Struthio camelus: one gene and its partners. The protein of the gene in region 1 interacts with the protein of each later gene in a pairwise test. Links are inferred from orthologs where the notes say so. Each region holds a gene or a part of one and is shown in the gene's direction. Other genes may lie near its edges. The genes, in order: PPP1CB, PPP1R3B, PPP1R16A and PPP1R7.

Region 1 (7,386 bases):
AGGTTCGCATGTGTTATTATTGGCATTTATAAATGTGGGAATTAAAGCTGAGAGCTCACTAAAGTTGCCGAGGTAATCATGAGCAAATGTATGACAAGAATCTGGAGCATCTGCATCTGAGTTTCCTATTAGCTGTTTGAAGTGGAAAGAGTAAGTGTAAAATGTAAGTAGAATATTTGCAGTGTATTACTTTAATAATAGCCTCTCTTTTGTTCTATTAATATTTAATTATTTATACAAACTGTAACAGCTACATCAAGAGAGATGGATCAGCACTATAGCTGAATGATTACGGCATGCATCTGATGCATAACAGATCCAAACTCAGGTCCTCGCTCCAACAGGTATTGAGCTATTTATACCAAGTGTGGCAGTTCAAAAAGGGATAACGGGAGACCTGCCTAGGATGCAACAGTTCAGAGAAGAGTTTCTCACATCCTAGGTAACTGCCTGCAAATTCAAACCACTGGTTATTTTGGGTTTGTTTTCCTTCCTCTCTAATTTCTCAGGAAACTTGATAAAATCTCTGTTTCAGCTCAGTCTGGAGCAGTAATATTTTTTTAAAAAGCTTTCTGAATATATAAAGAAACCTATTATCTACCCAGCTTTAGTGCAAATACTGAGCAAGAAAAAAGAGACACAGAATGCTAAAGAGCAGAATCTGATTGGTTTTCTGCACTTGTCTCTGAATCTAAACTTTTGGAAGAAAATAGTGATAATTCATCTGCAGTCTTTGCATATTCTGAGATTACCTTGATGCAGTTTCTTACCATTTCTGTCCAAAGAAACGTCCGTGAACATTGTGTACATAAATTGTCCTAAGGAAGTACACAGCTTTTTTGCTGATTCTGATTACTAAATCAAGTGGGAAACTGAGCTAGGTGCTCAAAATCCGCTTGCAGTGGCTTGGTTACTGGACAAACACAGAGACTGAGAAGGAAGCACTGCTCCAGCTACCACTGCCCAGTGAGAACATGCTCCTAATTACATGCCGGAAAACTAACCACAGGCCATATTGCTTCTCCCTGCTTCCTCCTCCCATCTGCGTAAAAGCTGTAGTCAGCCCTAAGATACACTCAGCAAAAGTGATACAACAGTTTAGAAGCAAGCCATAGTGCTTGAATAACGCTGTAAAGTGCTGCTGTGTGTTTTCTGTAAGATAATTCATGACAGAGCTAGGAGGGCAATGTAGCTGGGGCCATGATTTTTGAAAAACGCAGTTACAATGGCACAGCAAGTAACTTAAAAGAGCATGTAGTCGGTGCCATTAGTAATGGGACATACCGGCTGAAGCAATGTAAGGTTACTAGGAAAGAGCAGATAACATCAGAGATACTGAAACCGTGTTCTGTAGTTGAGGATGCAACAGCCTTGATAGCAGAGCAAGTGAGAACTCGTTCTGAGAGCCCCATTTTTGAGAATGACACTAACATACAATTTTTTACCACCTTTGGAAATCTCTGTCCTTCAAGTCTTGAAAATGCTACAGAACGCCACTGCAAATTAAAGCACACCTCAAGACAGCAGGTGGGTAAGGAGAGGAGAGTTGACACACAGGGTATTTAGGGTAAATGGCACTGAGACTGAGCGGGGGAAAGTTAGAAGCAAAGCCATGTTTGTGGACACAAGAGGAAATTTCAAAATAACTGAAAGGAAGTTTAGAAAGATGAGCATTATTTAGGAGAGTTTGCCAAAGGCATCAGCAACGTTCAAGCTTCTCCTGCTACTTAAATCACCACTTAGATATCTTTGGTCTGTATCTGTGTATGCTATTATGTCAAAAATTACTTAACATTTCTGCTTGATCAAAGAAAATGCATTCAGTCCACATTAAATATTTCTTTCTGAATCACAGGAGAAAACAGGCCTCATTCTCTGATCTTTTAATTCTATTTGTTGTAATGGAATTATGTCATTATAGAACGCAAGGTCTGTCGAGTTTTATTCGCTAAGAGACTCTCATACTCCTTTCCCTGCTCAAGCTCCGAAGCACGTTGGGGCAGACTACACAGAGTTACGCAGCACAGTGTGGTGGCCACCCTCCCTTTTCATGATCCAAATACAGCAGGGGAAGAACTCTGTGATCCAGCAAAGCTCCTATTCCATGAGTTACTGGAGAAGGAAAGAAGCCTTGGCGGGGTATGAGAGCTGAGATCCAGCAGTGGCAGGAACTGAACGGAGTCCTGAAGTTTCATTCCTCCAGTATCTTGAGTAGCGTGAGCAATCTCTCCTCATCCTATGACCCAGCATAATGCCACGCCTCATTCACTCCAGAATATGGAGAAAACTGAAAAGCAGTGAAATAGAGTAGAAAACCAAACTTAATGTATTTACCAGAGTCCCTCAAGAACGCAAGGGCATGATGTGATAGGGTAAAATTAACTAAGAGACTGGTACAGAATCCAGAAAGGAAAAAATAAGCTATTTTTTTCAACCCTTGTGCAGTGTGTTCTGTTCCACAGCATCTCTGCTTATTAAATTATTTTGATATTATGATATGCCACCGAGTTGTTTCTGGAACATGCTGACATGCTTAGTAAAAACAGTTATTATGGGATTATGTTTTGCTCAACATATCTCGAAGTTTAATATCTTCTGGAGTTTTTGGAGACAAAGAAATTGTATCTTTATGCCATAGTGAAAGATCATTGCATATTCTCATTCTGTTGTCAATGCAGAATGTTCTATGACTATATAATATTATTATACCTGAATTTGTGTTGGCTTAAAATAACTTTCAGGGCAGTTTTGGTTATGTGAAATGAAATTGGGACAATTCTTAAAAACTCAAGAGGGACTGCCTATCTATTAAATTTGGCAGCAATAAAATAGCTAATATCAAGAATACCCTTGTAAAGCTGAATAATTACTTTTCTTAGTTTGACAAAAAAATGAAGGAAAGATTTAAAGCATTATTTAGATTTTCACTACTGGGAAAAATTGAAAAATAAAAAAGAATATAGTTTCAGCAGATGAGCTGGAATTACATTTTCATAGATGCTACCTACAAATGGGGATGCAACATCTTTCTTTTTTTTTTTTCCAGAGGTTCTTCCTCTTCCTTCAATGTATCCAGCAAAACTTTATTATTGCCTATGTATTTCAAAAGAGCATTCTACTACCGGACTGTCTGGCCACCTAGCATCATCTGACGCCTAATCATTGTCTCGCCTTGTCCTAATTACTTACATTTTGCTCATATACATCTTGTCCTAATCATGAAGTAAAAACTAGGTTTTGAAATTATTTTAGCTGAGAGGATTTTGCTGGCTTGTATAGGTCAATGGAAAAATTCGAATTTGAGCTCAGATAGATGTTTCTATATCAACATCTATATTTAGGCAGATAAATAAGTGGCCTGATTTTTCTAGAACATCTGCAATGTCTTTGGCAAAAGGGATGGCTGGCTATATTTTGTCAGCATGCATACATTTCAATCTGCTGTTCCAGTTCACAAGCAGCTTTCATCAACTGTTTTTTAGATTCTGTCCATCTAGGCAAGCATCTATTGACAAGAGCATGCACTCTAACATGCTCTTGAGCACTCCTCTTAAAAAAAAAAAAAAAGGTTTCAGAAATCATTCAGAAATGCTCTTTCAGAAAAAAAAAAAAGTACTTTTAGCAGTTCCAGCCACAATGAAATATAAACCGTATTAGTTAGGAGATTCTTCCTGACAACTGTGTTAAAACGTGGCTACAAAGAGCACAACTTATCATTCCAGTTCTGATGGACTTCTTTAAAAATAAACTGTGAGCTTTCACAGGCGCAGTTTCAGCAGCAGAAGGGGTGATACACAGGTTACACGCAGCCCACTAGGACTCATTTTCTTGGCTTTTTTCTTTTCCTCCCTCCCTGTAATTGATGCCTGGAAACATAACCTCCGCATAAAGTAAAGCACATTCTCCTGCAGTAACATGTCACGGGGAGGTGGGGCATCACAAGGAGCACCAAATATCCCTACAGCCGTTAGAACATCTTCGGAGCGGATACCCAGTTGGGAGGCAGCCGGCGAGGCTGGCTAACCCCCACAGGGCGGCCTGCTGCCGGCACCCTGACAGGAAAGGCCACCCCGCCCTGCTCTTTGCACGGGACGGACGGCGGCCGACCGAGAGCCAGGGGGAGCAGGTCGGCGAGGCCTGCCTTGGGCTGCTGGGCAGCCCAGACAGCGGTGGAGGAGGACCGCGTCTGCCCGTGCGCACCCTCGGGCACTGCTTCACCGCAGCCGGCCGGCAACCGACCCTCAACGGCCACGGCGCGCGCCCGCCGGTTACTAGGAAACCCACGGGCAGGCGGGGAGAGGGGGGGGAGGGACTGTGACGCTACGCGCGTGCGCACTGGCCGACCCCCCCCCCGCGCGCCCGTTCTGCGCCTGCGCGGTGGCTGGCGCGCGGGGCGGCGGGAGGGGTGAGGAGGCGCATGCGCCCTGGCGGCCTCAGAGGCGGGGAGGAGGCGCGGGGAGGAGGGGTAGGCGCTTCCCCCCCCATTTAGCGCTGAGGGAGCGGGAGCGGCGCTTTCGGGTGCCAGCGCGGGAGAAGCCGGGCGGCCCCAGGGGACCGTCGGAGGAGGAGGAGGGGGGGGGGAAGCCACTTGTCTTCGCCGCCGCCCGCGCGCCCCGCTCCTCCTCTGTGAAGCGCCCTCCGCTCCTCCCTCTCCCCGCCTGGGACCGAGCCTGGTGGCCACAAAATGGCGGACGGGGAGCTGAACGTGGACAGCCTCATCACCCGCCTGCTGGAAGGTGAGCGGGGCGCCCGCCGGGCCTGCGCCCTCCGCGGGGCGCGGGTGGCGGCGCCACCAGGGGGAGCCGCTGCCGCCGCTTGCCCGCGGGGCGGGGGGAGCGGGCGGGGCGGCCCCGCGGCGGGGGCAGCGGCAGCGCCTCCCCCGCACCCGGCCCCGGGGGGCGGCGGAGAGCGGGCTCGGCGCGGCCGGGCCAGGCTCGGGGCCCTCGGAGGGGAGGGGAGGAAGAGGGTTTTAAGCATCCTCGGCGCGCTGGGGTGAGGGGGGAGCCCTCCCCGCTCTAGGTGAAGTGGCGGCTTTTCTTTTCTTTTCTTTCTTTCTTGTTTTCTTTTATTTTTATTTTTTAAAAAGCTTTGCAAGCGCTCTTCCCACGCGGCAGCCGCCCCGGTGAGGGGGGAGCTAGGGCAGCCTCGTTGGCGGCCTTTTCCTTTCCTTCCTCAGCGAGGATACTCCTAGTCCTCCGTGCGTAAAATTATATGCCTAAGCAAGATTAGGTGTGGAGTTGCGTGTGTGTGGGTGTCGGGGGAAGCAGAGGGATTGAGTGTTACTCTGCCTGCCTGCCTATGGGCCAGTCTCCAGAGGTTGCTCTCGGGTGCCTGGATAGCTCTGAGTCTAGTCTCTTACAAGACTAGTAGCTACGAGGGGTTTTGTGTGTGTGTTAAACAGTCATGCTTTCCTTTAAAATAAGGAGAAAACTAGCTGCCTTCCAGTTTATGGAGAAGCTGAGGAATTATTCCTAACGTTTTTCCTCTGTGTAAATGATGTCTCGAGTATCTGGTCTCAGACCTCTCCTCACGTTAGTCTTCCATTCCGTGTTCGACAAATACCTAGTATGGTGGAGACGATTATCCACTTATTTGGTTGCTGTGTTTGAATATTCGGATCACTTAGCAGAAGGCTTTCAGAAAGTAGTTTAAGAAGCATATGCAGTTCTGGGAGAGGAAAAAGTCTGAATGTTTTGTTTAACTGAGTTACTGCAGAGTTTTTGTGGCTTTTTGGTAATCGTATGTTTTTTATAAGTGAAACTGCTAATTGACTTAAACGATTAACAATCAGTATTTTAAAAATACATAAGGCTCTGGCCAGTTGTGCTCATGTTTGTACTTTAAGAAAGATATGCAGTGTAGTATAATGCAAAGAACACCTGCAGGTATCATCAGTTAGCAAAGTGTGTCTCTGTTCACTGATACTGATAAACCTCACTTTTCTGGACCCTGAAACCCAGCTTAGTAATGAAGGTAGTTTTTCAAGACAAACCACATAGTAACCTAGGAAATACTGCGTTCCTAATACTTTTTTTCCCAGGCTTTCAAAATGTGTACGTATATCTGTATGTCCTTATAAAAAGAAGGAGATTTGAAAAATCTTTGAAGGGTACTGTTCCCTCTCTTTTTCTCTTTGCTCATCTGTGTAGCTATTTAAATATAGACTGCTTGAAGAATAGGTAGTTCTCCAGTGTTTCGGGATGCAACTTGTATTGGGCTACTGTCTGTTATCTTAAATGCTACACTGCTTGCTTTATTTATTTTTAATGCAAGAGTTTGGAAATACTTATTCCTGGCTTTTCATACATGCTATAAATGCTTTATGTTGCTGTATCTCTAACATTTTTGAGCTATGACAGAGTACCTAATCTGCACTTTTTATTCTGTACTACTTTAATCTTTCAGAAGTTGCACATACATAGCTTTAAGCAAGCTTTCTTTATAATTCTGTGTCTCTGTTTCTCAGTCTGTTTCTCTCTCTCTGAGCAGAGATTAGGAAGATTTTTAAGGAAAGCAGGACATGTGTCTTCTCTGCTTGTCACCTACTAATAGGAGTGCCTCTTACAACATCTCATCGCCTCAGAAAGGGAATAGATTCTTCTAGGTTGTATTTGAGAAACTATTAAAAGAATACATACACTATATATGAATTTGCTTTGCTTGCATTTGACATCTTTTATTTCCTGTGCTGCTGGTGTATTATAGCTTAAGCTGTGGTCCAAATGTTAGTCTTCACAGGGAAGTTTTTTGTACAATTGGATGGCTAGCATTCTGGAGTTCATGGTGTTGCTTAGCTGGCTTATTGTGGTAAAGTGAGTATAAGCTCCTGTCAGTGTATGCACCCCTCCCCCTCCTCCCCCCCCCCCCCAACAACCTGGAAAAATTTCTATCAACCCTTGCTCTGGAGCAATTAATTTAAAATAAGTTTTTGACTGCTTTCCCCCTCACTTCAGCTTTGGCTTAAATAGTGAGGAATTGCAGCTTTTGAGCTGTATACAGGTGCACGTTAATATATTCAAAATACATTTTCATGAAATGTTGGGATGCAATATATTTAGTCCTTCTTTTAATGTTAAATGGATGACTTTAAACAACAGTCTACAATTGTCTCTCAGTTGCTGCTGCTTGTAAACTTCAAAGGGTAGCAAACGCATATCAAAAGCCGCAGTGACAGGAAGCTTCCTTAATGCCCTTGAGTTGCTGGTTGGGGACACCTGTTTCTAGGCTGTGATACTAGCTGTCATGAGTCCTTGCTCTTACTTAATTAGGTTACTCTAACTGTTTTTTACCCTTATTGCTCAAGACCACTTGCATTTCAGGTTATATGACGCATTAACTTGCCTTTTGATCAGAATTACATACTTGGATCATCTTACCGTCCATGGG
Region 2 (8,230 bases), on another chromosome or scaffold:
ATGCTTTCAAGGAACGCAAAGGCTGCAGATGCAAGCAGCTTTAGCCGCCTTCCTCAGCATCCTCGCCTCGCTTCTTGCCTCTACTGTTGCTATGGCCTACGGTACTTGCTTGGGATGCCATTTAAAAGTCAGGCATGTTGCTCCTGCTGGTTTTCAGATTCCCTCGGTAGTGATGCAGAAAGATAGGCAAGCCTGGAAAGCAAGTGAGCCCATCTTTTACTGACGTTGATGTTAGGATGAGACTAAACGTTTCAGGGAGGGACTGACCATTCCGTTTGCAGTAGAGAGAGCCTAGATACTGAAAGAGCCCTATCTGAGAGGCATGAACCCTTGAAGAGAGTTTAGGACTGTATGTATTACCAAGAACTACATGCATCACTCAGTCTGACCTCCTCTCTCAGCCTTTGTCAGCATACAAGAAGTGACTTGCAAGCAAAGTGCAGTCTGTCACGCAAGAATTTGCCCTCAGAGTCCCCAAGTCTGGCTACATGCAAGTTCCCAAGATATCTTCCCCATCAAATAAGGTTTGCAGTCTTTCTAGGGCACCACAGTTAAAACATACATTGCTTCACCATGAGTTGTGCATCGAGGGTAGATCCAAGTCCAGCAAGCCAGACACTCGGGTGGTGTAAACAAGCCAAGCGATGCTGGAGTCAATGCATCTGGACAGATTTAGCCTGCCTGAGGAACAGAGCCTCTCTTCTCTCTCTGCAATCACATTACTGTATCAACGGAAATAATTATTAAAATAATTTAATCTCCCTCATCGTTCCACCAGAGACCTTGCTGTCCCTCTGCTACAAGGGCATACAGTGAATTTTGAGGATTTTAGATTCTAGTCCAAGCTTTTGCCTTCAAGAGGCTGTGTCTCTATGCTGCTCGTTGCCTTCATGTAGGAGGGCATGTACAACTTACAGACAGGTTTTGCACATCACATTGACACAGCCAGGTAACTCCAGGTTGCAAACAAACAGCACAGGAGATGGCAAGTCACCGTGTTTCTTTGCATCAACCAAAGCATAGTCCATAGGTCTCCATCCCCATGTTCACTAGGGGAGAAAGGGATGTTCTCAAGAAAAATCCCTGTAAGGACAGGTACACCATTGTTGCATTGATTAGTGCAACCTTGGGGCAGACAACCAACCTCCTTGCTTTTGCGATGATTTTCCCAGGGCTTCACTAATGGCAAGGAAACCTGTAGACAGCATGAAAGCAAGGTCATGGAGCAGCTCTCTGGAGAGAACATTGTAGACCTTCAGAGAGCAGGAGGCCCCCCCTTCTCTCCTTGGAGCGACTCACCTACTTTTAGGTTCCCAGCTTTTGAAGAAGAGGTTGTTTTAACCTTGGTACCCCGCATACAGGACCTCACCTTTGCATCACCGTAACATCTTTGACTATCTCCTTGTGTGCTTGGCCAAGGACTTCCCTCTTTGTTGTTCCTGCCTGCCAATCATTTCGTCACTCTTCACTCCCTTTTTCCTTGTGGGGAGCAGCTTCCCTTAGGACTCATTTGTAACTTCGCTGCACTCATTCCCTCCCCCATAGCCACCCATTTTGCAAGGACTTTCACGGTCTCTGTTGCTGGGCCTATTCATTATTAAGAGGCAACAGTTTTAAACCGCCTGGTGTTTTCTGCAGCACACAGCCCCAGGCCAGCTTTTGTGTCTGGCCCCCGCATTGTCTTCTCTGTGCTGGAGCGGAAGGTGCCACAGCCTTAAGTAGGGCAGAGTACACGTTCCTCAGGGTGCTTGACCATCTCTGCCCACATGAGATCCAAAGGGAGCCATGCCAAGGTAAATCTCCTCCCTCGGGCTCCCTGCCAGTGCGCTGCAGTAGCTCCTCGTCTCTGGACGAAGCCAGAAGCGGTGATGGGGCCACTGCCTCACGGCGCCACACAGTCAGGAGACCCAGAGCAGGATTTCCTTTGACGCTGTCAGATGTTGAACGCTTGCTGCCTAATTTCCTGAGGCAGCTGCAGGAGTTTGCACCCTGTGGCAATAAAAGAGAGGGTTCCCCTCACCCAGCGGGACTTTGCAGGACTTCTCCTTGGTGGAGCAGGGTTTGCTGTGACCCTATGGGAGCTGTGCACAGGAGCTACCAGGTGATGCCCATCAGACCTGAGGTAGGGATGAGGCAGGACTGGCAGCCGGACAGATACACAACTAAGCTGCTGACATGTCCTTTCTGGAGGCCAGTAAGACCCACGGCCGCCCACCACTGCTCCCAGGGCCCCGCACTGGCCCCAACTCTCCTGCCATGCCTCAGCGCTGCCCAAAATAGTCTTTACTATTTTGGGCAGGCTTTCCTCCTGGATCACGTGTTCCCAATGACAAAAAAGACTCCAAAATTAGTCTCCCCTTCAGCATTTTGACATGAGGCAACACCTGGTGAAAATTACTTCAGCATTGCCCTCACGGCCTTGTCACAGGCAAATGGACTTTTTAAAAAAAAAAAAAAAAAAAAGAAAACCCCTCCTCTGCTTGAGGTAAACACCAGGGCCTGGCTCAAAGGCAGCAGCAGCTTCTCAGTACGGCCAGTTTGGAAACCACTGGCGAGCCTCACCATTGCAACAGGTCAGAGCACGAGGAGCGCAGCCTCTTTGCTGCTGTCCCTGGGGATGGAGACCCATCCCATCCCACAGGTTTACAACACTCGCCCTTGAGCCTTGGCCCCGCCGCAGCGCGGCGGCATTACACAACCCGCCGGGCCCCGCTGCCCTTTCTCGCCAGCCCTCTCCCCCTGGGGTGGGGTGGGGGGGAGCTGCCAAACCCTTGTGGCGGCAAAGCCCAAAAGGGTCCCCAAGGACCTACTTGAGCCCGCTGGGCTTCCCCGTAGCCAGTCCAGCTCTGCCCCATCCCTGACACAGTAGGAAGGGTGGAAAGGTGTGTGTGGAAGCCATTGAGCCCCCCCACGCGCAAGGGCCAAGCACAGAGCTAAATATAGCCCTTATCTCAGCTCCCGAAAGATAACAGCCTGTGTCCACAGCCCGCCACAACGCCCCGCACCGATTTCTACCTACCTTTGCTTTGGGGGCAAATACCAGGCAGCAGTTGTGAAACACCCTGCCCTGGCCACGGCAAACAGGGCCTTAATCAGAGAGCAGAAATAGACCCTAAGCCACCTTGCATGTATTAGCTTCTTAGTTCACACAGCCAGATTACCAAAATTTTCACAGCTCCAAGGCCAGCCAGTATCTCCCTCAGCATCTCTGTGGTCTCAGACAGCTGTCACACAAGCGTGTCACAAGAAACCTGTGATGGAGCAGAGCAACAGGCACAAGCTAGGCTGGGGCCTCCCTGTTTTTAGGGCCATCTCATTAAACTTACCACTTCCACTTGGCCCTGTCTGACAGGCCAAACCTGCAATGCCAAGCCCAGGTCGGGGCGACCCTGCCTAGAGGAGGCCAGGGAAGCAGTGGAGAGGGCCCATGAGCCTGACAGCCGTACATGGCTCTCTCTATAGCTCCTGGGGCGAATCCGACCACAGTTCCTCCTAGCCCTGCTGAAAACCTTTCGCTAAATAGCACATGCTGAAATACCACCCTATCGGGGCAGGCAAAACATTGCCGTAAGCCTGCAAGGCTGCTGTAGTGGATACATCTCTCAGCTCTCTCTCTCCCCAACTTCTCTAAATCTCCTTGCAATCTCCTTTGTCTAAGAATGGGAGCTTCTAAGGCTAAAACAATGCTCGTCTTCCCTCAGTGAAATCCTTCCGCCCCACAGAGTGATAAGCTTACGAAATTACAGCATACAGCAGGGAGTCTCCAGGTTTAACAACAGCTCTGTGTGTGCTCCCACAAGTTGCTTGCAAGCAAACATCAACGCTTCATCCCTGCTTTTATGCTCTGTAAGGGGAGGGGAGAGAGAGCATTGCTCACAGCTGCGCACTTAGAGGCCAGATGCAGCAAAAGAGAAGCAAACGCTATTATCCCCTGACGTTGCCACGGGAAGAAGGCACCGTCCCCACCTCCCGGCAGGTGTTACAGCCTCTGCTGCTTGCCCGCGGCGCCAGTTCTCGCTCCCAAAGCCACTTCCCTGCACGCACGTGGCAGGAGATCGCTGGAGACGTGGGACTCCGCGCTGGAGCGGACTCGGGAGCAGTCTCGGGGGGCAGAGAGGCTGACCCGTGGCAGGAGGGCAGCCACGGAGACTCCCTAACCTGGCTGGCCTCTTGCAATGCGAGCAGGGGTCCATGCCAGAGCAGCAGCTTGCCTAATGGACACCCCCGGAGTGTCAGAAACGCCTTCCCAGCCCCTCGCACAAGCCAGGACGGATACTCCCTTCGCCTTGGCCTCTGCGCCTGTCGGGTCCCGCAGGTGTTTTTTTTCCTAACGAAAGTCATTTCTGCGAGGAAGTCGTTTTTTTCCGTCTCACACCATAAACGGTGCCAGGAAAGAGTGTGTCGAAGTATCCCCTCGAGATTTCCACATCGAGGTGCTTCCCCACCCACCCAGCGTCAGCGTAGACCTGCTGGCTGGCGCTGCAGTCACAAGATGTGGACGTGCGAGTAAACCCGAGCGCCGAAACATCCTGAGCCAGCCCAGTCAAGAAGATCAGTGCCCAAAAAAGGCTTTCCTGCCACAAGCAAAAAAGTAAAAAAAAAAAAAAAATAAAATAAAATAAATAAAAATAAAAATAAAAATAAAAATCCTGTAGCCCTTCTTATCTGCCTGTATGCATCCTCCACCAAGCTCAGTCCTTCTAAGCTTCTCCGTGCTTCCAAGCAAGCGTCCGAGGCCCAAAACAGAGCTTGTACCTCCTGACGGGACAAACTCAGACAGAGGGGGCTGAAATAGGAGGTTCCCCCCTTCCACGTACGGGAGGGTCGCCTAGTTTTTTTTTTTTTTTTTTTTGGGGGGGGGGGGTGTTGCAAGCCTCAAGGCTGCATCGTGATCCCAAGCCAAGGAGCCTGGATGAGCCCACGGGCAGATTAAACCCAGCCAGGGCGGAGCAGGCTCTCAGCACCCAGGGGTGCCGCAAGTGCCCAGAATAAATGCACACCCTCCCCCCTTTTTTTGCCCTCCGTAAGCGCCCGCGGTTGCCGCGGGGTGGGGGGGGGGGACGCGGGTGCCCCCCCCCTCACCCGCCGCACCGCCCGCCCATTGGCCCGCCCGCCGCGTTCGGAGTGCGCTCATTGGCTGCGGCGCGCGGGCGGGCGGTGCGGGGAGGAGGCGCGGCGCGGCCGGGCGCTTTTAAGGCGCCGGGTCCGGGAGCGGCGCGGGCAGCGGGTCGGGCCGGCAGTGGGGATCTCATGCACTGCACAAGGTACGGCCGGGGGGGTCGTGCATGTTGGGGGGGGGGGTTTCATCCGGTGTCTGCCCTGCTCCCCAGCGAGTGCCTGAGGTACCTGGGCAGTGGGTCTGTCCTAGCTCTCTTTCTGCCCTGGCCTCATCACTGTGGTGATGATATTCACAGGTCTCAGTTGTGGAGGCCCTATGGGGTTTGCTCTGGCCTTGGATTTGGCTTCTGGGGTGCCCCCTTGATTTCTTACATCAGTTCCTCCCCCTCCCAAGCCTGGCTGTTTGGGCCTGGTGGACCACAGCTGCTGTGAGGGGTAGCCCTGGGGCAGTGATGAATTTGTTAGGCCTCCTGCCTCTGCTTCCTGTGAGGCAAGGTGCTGGTGGAGGATCTGTGGCTTGTGCCAGGCTCTGTGCCAGCTTCCTCCAAGAGAGGAGAAACCTGGTTGTTTCTGGCTCTCTCATCTGGTTTCAGCTGCATAGGAGAGGCCTGAAGAGCTGTGCTTTGTGCATGTGGGTGGAGGAGACTGGCTATAGCAGGGTTAACATGCATTGCCTGGACTTCAGATACTTGCCTGTAAGGACAGGGCTGGACTGTAGGAACAGCTTGGCCTTTTTCCCAACCAGGAGTGATGGAGGGCTGAAAAACAGAATGGCAGCATATAACCTCTAAAAACTTCCTGCAGCTGGTCTGAGGGCTGCTGCATGTCAAGCTGTCAGTGAAGGGTAGCAGAAGGAGCCTACATAAAAGTGGTGCTGAAAGGTGCAGATTGCCTCTGCAATCTGAGGCTTTTGATAATTGTGAATGTGAAAAATTCCCTTGCTCTGAGCTCCTTTTTGAAAATGGAGGGAAGCATGAGCAGGGATGTCTCTTCCTGGAGAGGATGAAACTGCCAGAAGAGGTTTTTGGGTACAAACAGCAAAGTCTAGTCTCCTCCCTCCTTTTTTAGAGGAGGAAAAAGGAAGCTGTCTCCATAACTGCAAAGGGCTGCCTCTCTTCCCCCCTGCCTTGCTTCCTCCTCTTCCTGAACTCGCTTTGCCATGTGAGCTCTTAAAACTTATGTTTTCTGCTCTCACCATCAAACTATCTGGAGTTATGGCTGATATTAGCTGTGAAAGGGGGACTGTTCTCTGTATGATTGTGAGTTGGGGATTTGGCTGAACCTCAAATCAAGAGCTGAAAGTGAGGTCTGGAGCATAACACGAGCTGGAAACTGCAGCCAGTTTGTGGAGTGGGCTGCTCAATTTAATAGTGGGTAAGAAAAGCTCTACTGTGGACCTTTTGCCACACTAAGGACTAAGTAATGCAAATTGGGCTGGATATTGCATGCCTCTTCATTTTTAAAAAAAAAAATCAGGAATATCTGAGGCTTACTAAGAAAAGTTGGGTTTTTTTGCAGCTATGGGAATTCAGTTAAATAACTTCTGCTGGGAAAAGATGAGACTAATGGAGAAGCTGACCTAGATAAGAGGCTGCCTTATTTTAAAGGAGGAAGTGACTTATTTAAAGCATGTATGAATAAAAACTTGGTGAAACCAGGTAGAGCTGAGCAGAATGGTGTTAGCAGACAGGTGGGTCTGCTGTCCATCTGATGTGGCTGCCCAGAAGCAGCTAGGCGGTGGGTGTGTTGAGGAGCAGGCCTTGGCATGTGTACTCTGAATAAGCAGATGCCCTTGCTGAATGGATGCTGTGAAAGACCCCTCAGAGCTGCTCTGTTGGCATTGCAGGGTGGGGAGCTAAAGGGCTGAATCGGAGGAGTGTTGTTCTGCTTTTTCTTGGCATGGGGACTGCAGTCCTGTATTGGAGCTGGCCAGGAGTATTTTGGCAGCTTGAGCACTGGTGTATCATGTGGTCAGCGGACTGCTACTACTGCTGCTGGCTCACAGTGGATCATGCAGTGGGAGCAGGTTTGGAGCATGATCTGCAGTCAAGCAGGGAATTTTTATTCAGAGAATACTCTGAGCTGAAGGTCAGGTGTGCCCCAGCTGATTATGAAGAGGGATGCAATAAATCTGTGTCCTGGAGCTTATCTGGAGCCAGGCCAAATCAATTCTTCCAAGAATGTCCAATCTAGCTTCAATGTAAGGGAAGGAATGACAAGTGAGATGTGTTAAGAACTGTTTGCCTGCAGATGCAGCTCTAGGCAATAATGCCAAGTGGAAGCTCCTCCAGAGAGGAGACTGCTGCATCCCTCCAAGTATGGGCCAGATCCTAGAGAAGGAAAGGCTGTGGTGGAGGACCACACAGCCTGAGCCTTCTGGAGGAAGTACTTATTTTTCAAAGCCTCAGTAAGCCTTGAGTAGGTGTGCTTGACTGAGCCCTGTGGCTGTGCCAACATCTCCCAGAGGCTTGGCACAAGTGCTGCAGAGGTTTGAGGAACAAGCTCTGCACTGGAGGTAAAAAACTTGCTGGACTGTCTCAGCTGACCTGTAGTTCAACCTGACAAATGTGCATGGTGTATCTGCTTTTTTTCCCTCTGAAAAAGCTTGCTGCTCAGGGTTCGGTGAAAGGTGAGGTCAGTTGCACACAGCAGCTTGTGATGAAATGGGTTCCTGTTCCTACAAAATCGTCTGGTGCAGTGGGGAGAGTCTCTGCTGGAGGGAGGAAGCTACAGCAGAAATACTGCATTAGGTCGCACTGGAGTCTGTGATGATCCCTGTCCTGCTGCTGACCACAAAACCTGACACAGCCATGGCTTTTGCTTTGGGTCAAAAAAGCTCCACAGGCTGCTATTGCTAGCCTGGCAGGGTTTGTTTCAAATGGTTGCTTTGGCCCAGCTGCAATTGGAGGTGATCCTGTGCTTGAAGGACACAAGAAGCTCTGCTTCAGCCTCTTCTGCTGTAGTACACTTCTGAACATGTCTGTCCATCATACCATATAAGTACTTGCCTTTAATGACGCTTTAGGGACTTGGGGGTGGATGATGGAAGCTAAGCTCTGAGGAGGGAGGGGAGGAAGCAGAGTAGCAGTGGTCTGACAAGTCAGGTTCATAA
Region 3 (7,297 bases), on another chromosome or scaffold:
GATGGGGATGGGGATGGGGATGGGATGGGGATGGGGATGGGGATGGGGATGGGATGGGGATGGGGATGGGGATGGGGATGGGATGGGGATGGGATGGGGATGGGGATGGGGATGGGGATGGGGATGGGATGGGGATGGGGATGGGGATGGGGATGGGGATGGGGATGGGGATGGGGATGGGGATGGAGATGGGATGGGATGGGGATGGGGATGGGGATGGGGATGGGGATGGGGCTGGGGATGGGATGGGGATGGGGATGGAGATGGGATGGGATGGGGATGGGGATGAGGATGGGGATGGGGCTGGGGCTGGGGCTGGGGCTGGGATGGGGCTGGGGCTGGGGCTGGGGATGGGGATGGGATGGGGATGGGGATAGGATGGGGCTGGGGATGGGGATGGGGCTGGGATGGGGCTGGGGATGGGGCTGGGGATGGGATGGGGCTGGGGATCGGATGGGGATGGGGATGGGGATGGGGATGGAGATGGGATGGGATGGGGATGGGGATGAGGATGGGGATGGGGCTGGGGATGGGGCTGGGATGGGGCTGGGGATGGGGCTGGGATGGGGCTGGGATGGGGCTGGGATGGGGATGGGGCTGGGGCTGGGGATGGGGATGGGGATGGGGATGGGGCTGGGGATGGGGATGGGGATGGGATGGGGATGGGGCTGGGGCTGGGGATGGGGCTGGGGATGGGGCTGGGGATGGGGATGGGATGGGGATGGGGCTGGGGATGGGGATGGGGCTGGGGATGGGATGGGGCTGGGGATGGGGCTGGGGATGGGGATGGGATGGGGATGGGGCTGGGGATGGGGATGGGGATGGGGATGGGGCTGGGGATGGGGCTGGGAATGGGGATGGGGATGGGGATGGGGATGGGGATGGGGATCGGATGGGGATGGGGATGGGGATGGGGATGGGGATGGGGATGGGGATGGGATGGGGATGAGGATGGGATGGGGATGGGGATGGGGATGGAGATGAGATGGGGCTGGGGATGGGATGGGGATGGGGATGGGGATGGGATGGGGATGGGGATGGGGATTGGGCTGGGGCTGGGATGGGGATGGGCTGGGGCTGGGGATGGGGATGGGATGGGGATGGGCTGGGGCTGGGGATGGGGCTGGGGATGGGGATGGGATGGGGATGGGGATGGGGCTGGGGATGGGGATGGGGCTGGGGATGGGGATGGGATGGGGATGGGATGGGGATGGGGATGGGGCTGGGGCTGGGGATGGGATGGGGCTGGGATGGGGATGGGGCTGGGGCTGGGGCTGGGGATGGGGCTGGGGATGGGGATGGGATGGGGATGGGGATGGGGCTGGGGCTGGGGATGGGATGGGGATGGGATGGGGATGGGGATGGGGATGGGGCTGGGGATGGGGCTGGGGATGGGGATGGGATGGGGCTGGGGATGGGGATGGGGCTGGGATGGGGATGGGGCTGGGGATGGGGATGGGCTGGGGCTGGGATGGGGCTGGGGATGGGGCTGGGGCTGGGATGGGGATGGGGATGGGATGGGGATGGGGATGAGGATGGGGATGGGGATGGGATGGGGATGGGGATGGGGATGGGATGGGGATGGGGATGGGGATGGGGCTGGGGATGGGATGGGGCTGGGATGGGGATGGGGCTGGGGCTGGGGCTGGGGATGGGGATGGGATGGGGCTGGGGATGGGGATGGGGATGGGATGGGGCTGGGGATGGGGATGGGGCTGGGATGGGGATGGGGATGGGATGGGGCTGGGGCTGGGGCTGGGGCTGGGGCTGGGATGGGGATGGGGCTGGGGATGGGGATGGGCTGGGGCTGGGATGGGGCTGGGGATGGGGCTGGGGATGGGATGGGGATGGGGATGGGATGGGGATGGGGATGAGGATGGGGATGGGGATGGGATGGGGATGGGGATGGGGATGGGGCTGGGGATGAGATGGGGATGGGGATGGGGATGGGGATGGGGATGGGATGGGGCTGGGGATGGGCTGGGGATGGGATGGGGATGGGGATGGGATGGGGCTGGGGATGAGATGGGGATGGGGATGGGGATGGGGATGGGATGGGATGGGATGGGATGGGATGGGATGGGGATGGGGGTGGGGGTGGGGATGGGATGGGGATGGGGATGGGGATGGGGACGGGGATGGGGATGGGGATGGGGATGAGGATGGGGCTGGGGATGGGGATGGGATGGGATGGGGCTGGGATGGGGCTGGGGCTGGGGATGGGGCTGGGGCTGGGGATGGGATGGGGCTGGGATGGGATGGGGCTGGGGCTGGGGATGGGATGGGGATGGGGCTGGGGATGGGGATGGGATGGGGCTGGGGATGGGGATGGGATGGGGCTGGGGCTGGGGCTGGGATGGGGATGGGGATGGGATGGGGCTGGGGATGGGATGGGGCTGGGGCTGGGATGGGGATGGGGATGGGATGGGGCTGGGGCTGGGGATGGGGATGGGGCTGGGATGGGGATGGGGATGGGGCTGGGGATGGGGATGGGGATGGGGCTGGGGATGGGGATGGGGATGGGGACGGGGATGGGGATGGGATGGGGCTGGGGATGGGGATGGGATGGGGATGGGGATGGGGATGGGGATGGGGACGGGGATGGGGATGGGATGGGGACGGGAATGGGGCTGGGGATGGGGCTGGGGCTGGGGCTGGGGATGGGGATGGGATGGGGCTGGGATGGGGATGGGGCTGGGGCTGGGGCTGGGGATGGGGATGGGGATGGGGATGGGATGGGGCTGGGGATGGGGATGGGGCTGGGATGGGGATGGGGATGGGGATGGGGATGGGGATGGGGATGGGGCTGGGATGGGGATGGGGATGGGATGGGATGGGGCTGGGCTGGGGCTGGGGCTGGGGCTGGGGCTGGGCTGGGGATGGGGCTGGGGATGGGGATGGGATGGGGCTGGGGATGGGGATGGGATGGGGATGGGATGGGGCTGGGGCTGGGGCTGGGGCTAGGGCTGGGATGGGGATGGGGCTGGGGATGGGGATGGGGCTGGGGCTGGGATGGGGCTGGGGATGGGGCTGGGGAAGGAAGGGGCTGGAGCTGGACGGGGCGGCCCGGCTGTGGCAGGGTGGGATCGAGCCCTGCACGGGGGGCCCTCACCGGCATGCTGTGCGGGGGCTGCACCCACAGGCACCCAGTGGGACCCATGGCAGGGACTGGGAGCCACTGGGAGCACTGGGACCCACGGCCATGACTGGGACCCACTGGGAGCCACTGGGACCCGCAGCCAAGGCTGGGACTCACTGGGAGCACTGGGACCCACGCTGGGGGCTGGGACCCACTGGGAGCACCCGCTGTGACCCCCTGGGTCCCCCCGGGACCCCAGAGCTCTGCAAGGGGTGCCGACCTCCACCGACCCCAGAGCGAAGGGGACTGTGACCCCTGACCCCAGGGTGGGGGGTCGTGACCTCCTGGGACCTCATGACCCCAGGGTGGGGCAGTGACCCCACATGACCCTGTGACCCCAGGGCCAGAGGCTGTGATCCCCCCATGACCCCAGGGCAGGGGCCCCCATGACCCTGGGACCCTTTGACCCCAGGGTGGGGCCATGATCCCTGGGCCCCCATGAGCCCTGGTGACCCCAGGGCAGGGGGCCGTGACCCCATGACCCCAGGGTGGGGCCATGACCCCTGTGACCCCAGGACAGTGGGCAGTGACCTCATGACCTCAAGGTGGGGATGTGACCCCAGGGCAGGGGGCCGTGACCCCATGACCCCAGGGGGGCTATGACCCCCATGACCTGAGGGCAGTGGGCAGTGACCCCATGACCCCGGGGGGGCCATGACCCCTGTGACCCCATGGCAGGGGGCCGTGACCCCATGACCCCAGGGCAGTGGGTCATGACACCCATGACCCCAGGGCAGGGGGCTGTGACCCCATGACCCCTAGTTTGGGCTGTGACCCCAGGGCAGGCGGCGGTGACCCCGTGACCCCAGGGCAGAGGGTCGTGCCCCCCCCCGCCGGCCAGCAGGGGGCGCTCGCTCCGCGGCGGCCTCTCCCTCGCTCGCTCCCAGCATGCCCCGGGCTCCCCTCTCGTTCCCTTCCCGTCGCCATGTTGAGTGTGGCAGCTCGCTCCGCCTGGCGGGGTGGCGCCCAGCCACGCTCCGCATGGCGGCTCAGCGGGGGGGGGGGGGCGCCCCCTCCCTTCCCGCCGGAGCCCCGCCCCTTCCGGCCTGGACCGGAAGTGTGGCCGGTTGCCATGGCGAGCGGCGGCGGCGCGCGCGGGCCCCGCCCCGAGCAGGGAACGACACCGGGCAGGGCGGCGGCGGCGGCGGCGGCGGCAGGTAGGGCCGCGGCGGGGGGGGGGGCAGCCCCCGGGCTGGGCCAGGGACGGGGAGGGGGGACCGGGGCCGCCTCCGTGGGGCGTCTAGGGGCGGCCCTGGGCTTGGGGGGGGGCTCCCTTCCCCCCCCCATCCGTGGGGCGTTTGGGCCCTCACAGGGTGTGGGGGTCCCCCCCTCCCCCGGCTGTGGGATGCTCCCTCCCCAGGGGGTGTGGGGGGGGCTTTCCCCCGGGTAGTGGGGGGGATCCCCTCATCTGTGGGGCGTTTGGGCCCTCACAGGGTGTGGGGGTCTCCCCCCTCCCCCGGCTGTGGGGGACATTCCCTGCCCCCTGTGCTGCATTTGGGGACAAGGGATGTGGGGGGAGGGTGCTGAGGTGTTTGGGGGGGCCTTTCTGCTGGGCTCTGGGGGGGGATCCCCCCCCAGGGGGCATTTGGTGCCCCCCCCCCGGCATATGGGGCTTGGCTCCTGCGGGATATGGGGCGGATATGGGCGGGATCTCCCCATGGGGCATTTGGTGGCCCCCCTGGGATGTCGGGGTTGACCCCCCCAGGATGCAGGGGGATTCCCCTCATAGGGCCTTCGGTGGTCCCCCCCCCCCGGGATGTGGGGATCCTCCTCCTCGGGATGTGGGGGGTCCCCCCCCATGGGGCAGCCCACATGAGCTGTGGAGGGCCCCCCTCCCTCCCTCGGGGTGTATTTTGGGACATCCCTGGTGCGATGGCCTGGGGGCTCCCAGGGAGGGCTGAATCCCCCATGGGGGTGCGTGGCGAGTGGGGCAGGATCACCGGGAGGGTGATGTGGATGAGCCCCCAAGCCCGTGGCGGGGGGCTGAGTCCCTCCGTGGGGCAGGGGGAAGCCTTCGGGGCCGGGCGGGCTGTGCTGTGTGCCGGGGGAGCCTGGGGGCTCTCCTGGCCGCTGGCTGTGGGGCGGCCAGTGGTTCCTTAGGGGGCCTTTGGGGGTGTCAGAGCAGTTGGGGGCTGCCTAAATCTCCGTGGAGCCGCTCGGAGCACTCGTGGGTTGGGTATTCCTCCGGGAGAGGAGCTCGGAGGGACTTGAGCTGGGCGAGAAAACACTTGGAAACAGCGGGGAAGGTGGTCTTCCCCGACCCGCCTCCTGGAGCCGGGCGTTAGGTGCCGCTTCGGGCTGGTGTCCGGGTGGGACGGAGAGCCGCTGCGTGAAGCCACTGGCCGGCGCGGCCTTGCCCCCGCCAGCCGGCCGCGCAGGAGGCGCGCGGGCGGGCTGGATGCCTCGGCAGGTATTTAAAAAACCTGTAAGAACCTGTTTTCCTAGAGCCTCCCTGGGCGTGAGCTGCCAGCGCAGGGGCCTCGCCTGCCCTAGGTGAGGACGAGGACGCCTGAGACCGGCTTCCCCTGCCCATCCCACGCCACCCGCCTTTCCCCGCCGAGCCTCGCTTTTAAGGTAGTTGCCTTAGGTCGCTTGAGCCCTGGCTGGCCTCGGCTGGGGGCCCTCCGTCCTCGCGCGGGCAGCGCTGCTCCCGCGGGACGCTCGGGGCGGCCGCTGCGGCGAAACACCGAGCTCATCGGTCCGGGTCAGCGCGTTGCTCCGTTTCTACCCCTGGGGAATCGATGCTGGTTATGTGAAGAGCAATAAATAAAAGATGAGCGCTTTTTTTCTTAAAAGCGTACACGGTCGGAAAGAAATTTGAAAGTGTAATGTCCGGCGTTACCGCCTGCGTTTGCTGGTGTCCATTAACGCCGTTTAGCGAGGAAGCTGCTCTGTGCATGTGAGCCATCCACCCATTTTAATGAGCGTGAGGATGCTGCTCCTTCGGTTGTCTCCAGAATAGGAAATGGCGGGGAATCTTTAACTTCTTCAGGCCTGTCCCTTTGTGCTTCGGCTAGTTTCAAATGTCAAACTCTTTGTGCTTTAGCTAGTTTCAAATGTCAAATTTTTTGATGATTTACTTTTCTTGTATGCCTAGTTCGTTTTGGCAGTTCTGTTTTGCATAATTCATTCTCTTGGGTTCTTTTTGTGCGTTTTAACTTCCAGCTAAACGTAGCTTGATGTGAATAAAAAATATCATTCCCTGTTTAAACGATTAAAAATCAGAAGCGTCTGAAAAGAGCGTATGTTAAGCCCTGTGATACGACATAGGTAATGGGCAGCACTGATACGAACCAGCGCTGAAAGGGCCGTGTTAAAACTTGGTGGTTAACCCATAGTAGTACCGTAGATTTAACTCGGATTTCGGCTGGGGCTCCCCGTAGCCGGTATCGTGGAGCTGCTGCGGCTGCCTCCCAGGAAGCGTCCGAAAAGCTCTAAGTAAGCAAATGTGGGATAATCTGCACCCTTTGAAGGTCTCGTCCTAATCTCTGCAGCCAGAGATTAGTTTGAACCTTGAAGCTGGCGGTTTCGTGTCCTGCCGTTAACTGCTGCCGCGCTGGACGCCGGCGGGAGCGAAGGCTGCCCAGCTCCTGGCGTCCCGCTGGCTGCGGGGCCCCTCCTCGGGGAGGGCGCGCCGCGGCCGGCCGCGGAGCCCGGCGGGCGCTTTTAATCGGTTTGCGTTCGCTGCTGGCTGCTCTGAAGGTCCCCTTCCGGCGCGAGGAGCCGGAGCGAGCTGGAGCTTCTCGTTTCGGGGGGCCGAGGAGGGGGATTGCCTTCCTCCCGCTTGCAGGCAGGCGGGAGCTCTGGCTGGCCGCTGCCCCGCTCTGCCTCCGGCTCCGGAGTTGCCCTCACCTCTCCGTGTACCGCGGTTTGTGCTCCTGCCGTTCGCAGCTGGGCTCCGACTCCTCTTACTGATCCCATTAATTGGTTAATGTCTGGAAAGCGCATTTGAAGGTGGAAAGTACAATGTAAGTGCTAAGCACTGCTAAGTATTACGATGCTAATGGGATTCGTGCGCGCCTACGGAGGAGTCTGGCGGCCCGGTGAAACCAATCGCTCTAAAGAAATGCGTTAAAGATCAGCGTGGCGGCCTGCCGCCTTCGGGAAACCACTCGTGTTTCTCGAGCGAGGCCTCAGCCACGCGAGGGCTGGCGGTGG
Region 4 (7,853 bases), on another chromosome or scaffold:
TTACACAGTGACTCCATGACAGCCAATAAAATATTTGGAATTGCTATAGTTTAGAGTCTGTGTCTTTACCAACCATTTAATTTTAATTCTGGATTTCACTTACTCAGGCTTGGATTTTTCTTCCCAAACCCAACTGAAGGCTCAGGAAGATCAAGCTTTGAGATGCTGACAACCTGAGTACAAAAATAACACACCAGGAAGAACAGGAGCTCATTTTCCAAATATTTTCTAGTGACAGCTCACAATACCAGCAAAAGAAAGAAATTTTTAGAGGCTTCTCATGCAGTTCTCTTATAAATAACCCCCATAGAGGCAAAACATCAGTTCTGCTCTTCTGCATCTAAGATGTTTTGTCACAGCCATTTCATGGTATTTGACTGATGTGCACAATGCAATTTAAGATAATTTAAAAGATATTCCAAGAGACCCAAGACAACTGGGAACTTTTCAGTAATAAATTTTTCTATGCTAAGCAATCCATATAGTTTTTGGCTTGTTTGTTTTGTTTTTCAAATCTAGTGTCCTTCAAGCATTTATTTGATCACTTCATCATGACTATACATGTTTGACAGCTAGAAAGATCTCACGGGTGCCTACCAAAACCATCTTTTACCCTTTGAGTGCCCGTATCTGCACAAGTAAACAGTCCTACAAATTACTTAATTGCCAAATGCCCATAAAGTTACCTATATCAGGAAATAATATTGAAAACGTCACAAAAAAAAAAACCCTCAAAAAACAAAAAACCCAAACCCCTCAAACTGGAAAAGATGTGTATGGTGGGGAATATTTGCTGGAACATTTCACATACCACAGTTCCTGAAACCACTGATGTACATCCATCAGCTTCTATGTACTCCTCACCTACAGCTTCCACAACATCTTGACTGGATTTTGATATCAAGTGGGACAGCTTTTGACCAATGAGTTCCTGACTACTGCATCCAAGCAGCTTGCAGGCTTTGTCATTGGCCACTAGAATCTACAAAAGCAGAAAGGAAAAAGAAAAAAAAAGGAAAAAAAAAACACAGAAGAGCTGTAAGTTTCTTTAAAGCAACAGCATGATGATCTGTTAATGTCTTATAATATCACTTCCTCTCTCAGTGGAAACGGAGAAGCCCTTTTTAATTCTGAAATCTTACTACTCAACTCACTAAAACTTCTTGTTCTAGGACAACCCTCACCCAAGCCTCTTCTTTGTTAAGAAGGTGTGAGACATGGCTTTCCTTTTAAGCTTCTGGCTTTATAACTGCCTATCCCCTCCAGCCTCTTGTGCTGTTTAAATAATTATATCCACAGAGGCAAAACCACAGAGCTGCACTTTCAAGGAAAATCTGGGCTGGCCACAGAATATTATCGAGCCCTGAAGATGTGCAAAAACCACAGCAATTGACAGCCTTAAGCCTATTTACAGACCAAGTCACAATTAAGTGTCTAGCCCCTCTCTCTTTATGATGGGGAGGTCTGAACTGTTAGTTCAAGCTAAAAAGGAAACAATGCTTTACAGTTTTCAGTACTCAGTTTCATACTAACGTTTACTCTCAGGACAAAAACAGAGAAATTCTCTCTCCCAGTGCAAAAGGCATATGTACTGGGGCAGACAGAGACCTCATGTCACCATGAGCCCATCCCAGTGAAGGTTCTTCCTTGTCATAAGGCTCGAAACATTTTCTGCTTTTCTGTTCTTCCCTCATGCCACATCACAACTGCTTTCTTCTTTATTCTCTTTTTCTGTTTGAAAAAAGACTCAAGACATCAGTGCTTCTGATATTGTCCTGTATACTTTACCGACTACAACCTACAATGGAAATACATGCATTGTCCGTCTTTGTAGAATCACTGAGCTTGAGCAGACTATCAAAAAGCTTCATAATTTGGACACTGCCTACAAACACAGGAATAACAAGCTTTTGAGCCTACATGATGTCACACAACCTATACTAGGTACGCATTGCTTTGTTTAGCGGTTCGTACTGCAACAGATACGGCAAGTACCTCTGTTGTGTTGACATCCACCGTGAAGACGGCTTTGTTCGGATTGCGTGCAGTAGTTACAAGGTGTTGGCTGGATTCCTCCACAGTAAGGGCATGCAAAAAGGAACAAGAAGCAGGACTACCAATGGAACTGGAGAGAGAGGCAGAATCCCACCGAGCCCAAGAGTTACCAATTTTGCTGGAACAAATGTTATGAGCCGCCAGCGAAGACAAACAATAAGAGCTCCATTTCTCTCCTGTGAGAAGATAAAGATCGGCTATGTAGCTCTAGCAGTCTACTACAGGAGTAGTTACAGGAATAAATAAAAAAACTGTTTGTCAGCTGAAATAGCTGTCAAGTAATTTCAACTCAAAACATACGCTTCCTAGAAATTACAAAATACCAAAATCAATTAAACTAAAGATAACAGAAACAATTCTAATAAACATGTCTTTGTAAGTCACAGGAACAATTAAACTCAGTTCACGGGCTAGAAAACATTGCCAACATGCATAAAATTCAACCAGACTAGTCAACTTTCCTTTCGCTTAAGATAACAGAGTTAAAGGATAGGTTTTGAATTCTCTCAAGTTAAAATTAAAACTGTTATTAAATATAATTACTGTAAGCGTTCAAGCCCTCTTTAAATACTGAGTTAGTCAGAAGCCAGTAAATTAACTACTCACAAGAGCTGACACTGAAATACCTATGCCCACACCAATGTTTTATGTTATGCAGTGCCAAGAGATTGTACTAAAATTTTCAGAAGTTCTGCCTGTAGAAAGCGTTTCTTCAGGTAGTGGCATCGGCAACAAACTCTGCGCCCAAAGGGGCAAATAGCTTTCAAAGGCAAGCTGTGCTGGAGGACGCGGTATGAACAAGTCGTTACAAGGACACCTCTGCATTTATGCACTGCATGCAGCATGGATATGCTGACCATGATAAAACAGAGACATCCATATCTGGACAGGCTTGAAACTGAAAAGTTCTCCTCCTCCTCAACAGGTTCTACTGTAATATCGTCTTCCTCCCTATTTGGCAATTTTTTCATTTTTTAGAACATAATATTTAGAACACCAAGTATCTTGCAAGCCCAGGACAGCCTGGTCCAGTGGCAGCCAATAAAGGTTGCCCAGGCAGGAGTACCAATACAAAGCAAGCATACTACGACACGTCCTCCCAGAACTCTCCCAGCCTGAATAAGAGCTTTTTAATAGCTGCTTATTGCTATCATCTCTAGCTTTTTTTTTTTTTTTTTGGGGGGGGAGGGAGAAAGAAGAGCTGAAAACATCTGAAAGAATAATCATCGTCTTCATTGACAACACGCAAACTCATTCACATGCGTTTCATGTGCTCACCGGAGAGAGAGGCTCTGCGCCGGCAGAGTTCAGAAAGCTGACTTCTCCTGCTCTTGCTGGCCCAGGGGTAGGATCTACTTAGCTTATCAGAATCGCTCAAGTGATGAAGGGCTAAGCCTGCTGACGAAGGCAAAAAGCCCTCTTCAGCGGAGCTATCTGCCTCGGCTGCCATAGTCAAAGCCTGGTTGCCATATCGCGCGCCTAGAAAACCTCCACCTGTAACAGAAGCGTAACAAATTCAGTCAGGCCCGCGGTCAGGCAATAGCGCTCACAGCATTGGCAGAACAGGCCTTCTAGTCCAAAGCACAGCCCTGCAAGCTGTGGCAAGACTGCCGCTAACTAGCTTTTGCCCGGCCAGGTGGGACTTGTGGTCTGTGCTGCCAGCATCACCTATGGCACAACAGGACTTCGCCAGCGCGCTTCCAGAAGAGCGACCGAAGCCCCCGGCCACCACTCGCTCCCCGTTTCTGCTCATTTTCAGAGCAGAAGCAGGTTATTCGTGCAGTAACTCTCGACGTTGATTCAGCCACCGCCGCACGGCCTCCCTCCCGCCCAGGGCGGGCGGTCCCCGCACCGGCCACCCTCCCCAGCCCGCCCGCGGCGGGCAGCCCGGGCCAGCCCAGCCCCCCGCAGTCCTCCCTCGGCCCCTGCACGGGGCAGCCCCGGCCCGGCCGAACCGGCCCGGCCCGGACGCGCCGCCCCTCAGAGAGTTACCACAGAGCCGCGGGCGCGAGCAAACAAGGGGCGGGACTCTCCGGCCGCGCTGCCCAATAAGCAAAGGCGGTGGGCGAGCGGCACGCGGGGTAACCAATCAGGCGCCGAGGCGCGGGGCGGCGGGCCGCTCGAACGGGCAAAGCCGTCCCCGGCGGCCGCGCGCTGCCGTTGCCAAGGAGGCCCCGGCCGGGCCGGGGCGGCAGCGGCGGGAGGCGCGTTGACAGAGCGCTGCGGAATGGGCAGCGCCCTCCGGACTCTCTGTCCCTCGCCGCAGCCCTCTTCGCGCCCCTGCGATGCCTGGATGCCTGCCCGCGGGCAGCCCCGAGCCGGGCCGCGCCGGGCTGCCCGCTCTCGCGGCCTGGGAGGAGGTGTGTGGGGGAGCCGAGGACGACCAGCCCTCTGCAAGGGCCAGGGTTCCCTAGCGGCACGAAAAAGCCGGAAACAGCTCGTAACGCCCGAGGGGCTGCTGGTGGGCTGGGAACCGCCCCCCGCCCCCGCAGTAATGCCAGGCGGCTTCCTCCTTTTCCTCACAGGGTACTACAACTCCCAGGAGGCAGCGGGGCTCGGGCTCGCACGCATGCGCGGGAGCTGACAGGCGGCCCGGGCCCCGCCCCTCCCCTTACGGCGCACCACCTGCAGTGGTGATTGGCTGTGGCCCTTCGCCGGCGGCGGGCTCTGATTGGCGGCGGCGGCCGTTGCGACGGTTTCCGGAAGGGGGCGGGGGCGGGGGCGGGGGCGGGGGCGGGGGAGGGGGGGGAGGAGAAGCAACATGGCGGCGGAGAGCGGAGAGGGACCGCAGGAGATGATGGAGGGTGAGAGCCCGCCGGGGGCCGGCACGGCCGCGGCCGCTGCGGGGCCGGGGCGGGCCGCGACTCAGCCGTTGCCGCTCGGCGGGGCGGCTGCCGGGCGCGGGCGGAGCGGCTGCCGGGTCCTCCGAGGTGTGGGAGACTCCGATGTTTGTCCCCCCGGGGGCGGCTGCCGGCCGGGGCCGGGGCGTCGGGGGCCTCTGGGCCGTGCTGCGCCGCCCAGGGTGGGGCTGCTATTTGGGGCACAGCGTGATGCCCCCCCCCCCCGCCCCGGGGGGCTGCAGGCGCGGGAGGTGGCAGAAGTGGGTGTGTGGAGGTGAGCGTGACCTAAAAAAAGAAAACCCGACGATAATACCAAGCGGCGCCCTGGCATGGCGTTGCTTCCCCTCGGCCACCCCGTGAGGGGAGTGTACGTGTTGAGGGGTGCCTGTGCGCTGCCCAGGACGAAGGACCTCGGCTCCCCGGGGCCAGGGCGGCCGCCGGAGTTGCGGCTGGGGAAACGATGGAGCGATCACGCTGGGGAGATGGTTACTTTATCTGCTGGGATTGGCTTTTTCTTTTTTTTTTTTTTTTTTTTGTGAAGCTTTTACTACTTCACGTCTTTGTTACTGTTTTACAAGATACTGATTTTTTTTTTTCCTAAAAGCTTTTACAATGTAATAATTATAATTCCATCTCCGTAATCTTTGGATCTGCACTCCTTTGATCTAAGAAATCTCCTTTTTCCTCCAGTCTTCTTCCCAGATTGTTGGTTTTAGGAAGATCTGAAGGGAGGAAAAAGTGCATCCAAAATCAAACTAGAAACAAGGGGTAAGAGGCCTTTTATTTAAGACTAAACCTTTAATTTAGTTAACTTAGGATTTCTACTAACTGCATAGTGGTGTATGTGAGTCCTGGTTATTATATTTGTTTGCTACTTCTCTGCCCCGCTCACGAAAGTAGCCTAAATCTGCTGTTATGTATTTTGTGCAGTTGATAAGCGGATTGAATCGGAGGAGTCGGGAGATGAAGAAGGGAAGAAGCAAGCAGCTTGCTTAGTAACAGACCTCAGTCAGCAGAGCCTGAAAGAGGAGCAGAATGGTGAGAACTGCACAGGTACCCAGCCAATCTAATTGATCACCCTAGGAGGGATCTTCTTACTTACAGCAGTATCTGTGCATCGATCCTTTCTCTTTTCCATGGCTATATGTGGTAATGTTATTAACCTCATGATTTTTTCTTAGAGCTCTTTTGAGAAAATTAGTGGTAAGGTAGTCATTGGTAGAACAGAGCTGCCTCTTTTTTATGGAACCATTGGCATTAGATTTTGGGGATTTTTTTTTTCCTATTATTATTTTTTATTTACCCGTGTGTGAAACCACGCTTCTCTTTGAAATCTTTAAGATCGAAGTATGAAACATCTTTACTAATACCTATCTTGTGGTAAAGTAGTAGCAACTTCCTATAGAAAGATGCTGCAAGTGTTCATTAGAAATGAATAGAAACAGCTCTTTATATCTCTGCTTTAGTGTTATGTAGTTTTTTTACTTTTAAATTGCTGGATTTGTTTGGAAGGCAAAGGAGACTATTTCTAGATAGATCGAAGGAAGCTTTCAATTCTTTTGTTTAGTTTTTTTAGACATTTACAAATTATAAGATGTATCAAAATACTTGTATCTGAATGTTTGAATCCTCTTGATTTGGAACTCCTGCTACTGTTTTTACTGTTTACACTAGTATAGCGCGGTAGAAATTCTGACAGGCTTTTTTTAAGCTTGTGTGTGTTTGATAGAAAGACTTATTTTTCAGTAACTTGCTTAAACTCTATCAGAGCAAATCCATCTCTGAAGACCCCAGCTGGCAACATTATGTGAACTTCTGGTGCTGGTTGGTGGGTGTTGGAGTAAAAAGAGTTAAATCTCTAATAGATCTAGAGCTAGAACGCCCTGATAATTTGAGATGTAATAGCGTCCTTCTGATGGACGCGTTCGAGTAACTATTGGCCTGGAAATAAAAGTGAAACAATATAGCAATTTTTTCCGCTGTGTTTTGATCCTTTTTGGCTGTTGCTCTTTTACAAATCCCTCTTAACCTTGTCCCTTAGAGTTTGCAAAAATAGTTTCTAAAGTAGTAAATTACTGTGAGAATTTGAACTCTCATTTCCTAATTAAATGATCTCTATTTCTAGGTATAATTCACTGTTAACATATAGTTTTCTGTGATTAATTGCGAAATGGTGTGATGTTGTCTATGAAAGTGAAGGAGCACATCTTGGGAATTGTAGAGCGCAAGCACTGTACGGCCAGCAAAACAAGCAGATCAGTCGTTCATTGTTTTCCTTTGCACGCATGTAGCATAATGAGCGTTCATTCAGCTAACGTAATTTAGCTGCATGTTCAAAGTTATATTTTGTATGTTGTTTCCTCTGGGAATTATAATATGAAAATATGCCATTTGAAGTCTTTCCTTTAATTACAGTTTAAAGCAGGAAGGTAATTCAGATTTGGTGGATGGATTATATTGGGACTATTTTATTTAATGACTGTATTGTCATTTCTTCTTCTTCTGAGCTGGTAGGATTCAGCAAACTTCAACTAGAACAGAGACCAAGCAGAGGAAATAACTTTGGAACGTTTGAGTTAGTTTCGGTAGGCAGCTGTTGAGTTGCCCAGGTGAAGGACAACGAACAGTTTTCCATGCTTTCCACAGAAGAACATAAATAGAGAGAACTCAAGCAGCTGAAACTTCACATTTTTCATTCAGCTAATTTTTCTGAAGAATAGCAGCTCTGTTTAGGAAGCTTATAGCTTAGATATTTATAACATTTTTCATGCATTTGCAGTTAAAAAGTGCAGTTAGACTCTTAATTAATACTTGTGGTACTGTGGAATTACGTAACTCTGTAACTACTGTTCTGTATTGCGGAATTTGGGTTTCCCAAATGTAGTGTTTTTCCTGCATCTGCAAAGCTGCGTAGCTTACAGGCATGGGTTACATAAAAACTCAGTTAAGTAGCTTCAC

The links.
Region 2: the proteins of PPP1CB (region 1) and PPP1R3B interact in a two-hybrid assay, tested with the Homo sapiens proteins (2 studies listed by BioGRID and IntAct). The link is inferred for Struthio camelus from reciprocal best matches to the Homo sapiens genes PPP1CB and PPP1R3B.
Region 3: the proteins of PPP1CB (region 1) and PPP1R16A interact in binary tests that used the Homo sapiens proteins (3 or more experiments, as listed by UniProt). The two-hybrid records come from large-scale screens. The link is inferred for Struthio camelus from reciprocal best matches to the Homo sapiens genes PPP1CB and PPP1R16A.
Region 4: the proteins of PPP1CB (region 1) and PPP1R7 interact in binary tests that used the Homo sapiens proteins (3 or more experiments, as listed by UniProt). The link is inferred for Struthio camelus from reciprocal best matches to the Homo sapiens genes PPP1CB and PPP1R7.

The regions. Positions count from the first base shown.
Region 1 is NC_090944.1:108,070,482-108,077,867, forward strand, and holds the start of PPP1CB (serine/threonine-protein phosphatase PP1-beta catalytic subunit), read left to right. Parts: upstream 1-4,384; 5' UTR 4,385-4,684; coding exon 4,685-4,736; intron 4,737-7,386. UniProt on the Homo sapiens protein: Protein phosphatase that associates with over 200 regulatory proteins to form highly specific holoenzymes which dephosphorylate hundreds of biological targets.
Region 2 is NC_090945.1:3,001,623-3,009,852, forward strand, and holds the start of PPP1R3B (protein phosphatase 1 regulatory subunit 3B), read left to right. Parts: upstream 1-5,167; 5' UTR 5,168-5,250; coding exon 5,251-5,264; intron 5,265-5,811; exon of another isoform or gene 5,812-8,230. UniProt on the Homo sapiens protein: Acts as a glycogen-targeting subunit for phosphatase PP1. Facilitates interaction of the PP1 with enzymes of the glycogen metabolism and regulates its activity.
Region 3 is NC_090943.1:172,443,528-172,450,824, reverse strand, and holds the start of PPP1R16A (protein phosphatase 1 regulatory subunit 16A), read left to right. Parts: upstream 1-4,272; 5' UTR 4,273-4,296; intron 4,297-7,297. UniProt on the Homo sapiens protein: Inhibits protein phosphatase 1 activity toward phosphorylase, myosin light chain and myosin substrates.
Region 4 is NC_090950.1:3,846,125-3,853,977, reverse strand, and holds the start of PPP1R7 (protein phosphatase 1 regulatory subunit 7), read left to right. Parts: upstream 1-4,752; 5' UTR 4,753-4,816; coding exon 4,817-4,859; intron 4,860-5,585; exon of another isoform or gene 5,586-5,663; intron 5,664-5,825; coding exon 5,826-5,948; intron 5,949-7,853. Other genes in the region: PASK (PAS domain-containing serine/threonine-protein kinase), read right to left, coding at 812-982, 1,996-2,231, 3,334-3,549, 3,724-3,808. UniProt on the Homo sapiens protein: Regulatory subunit of protein phosphatase 1.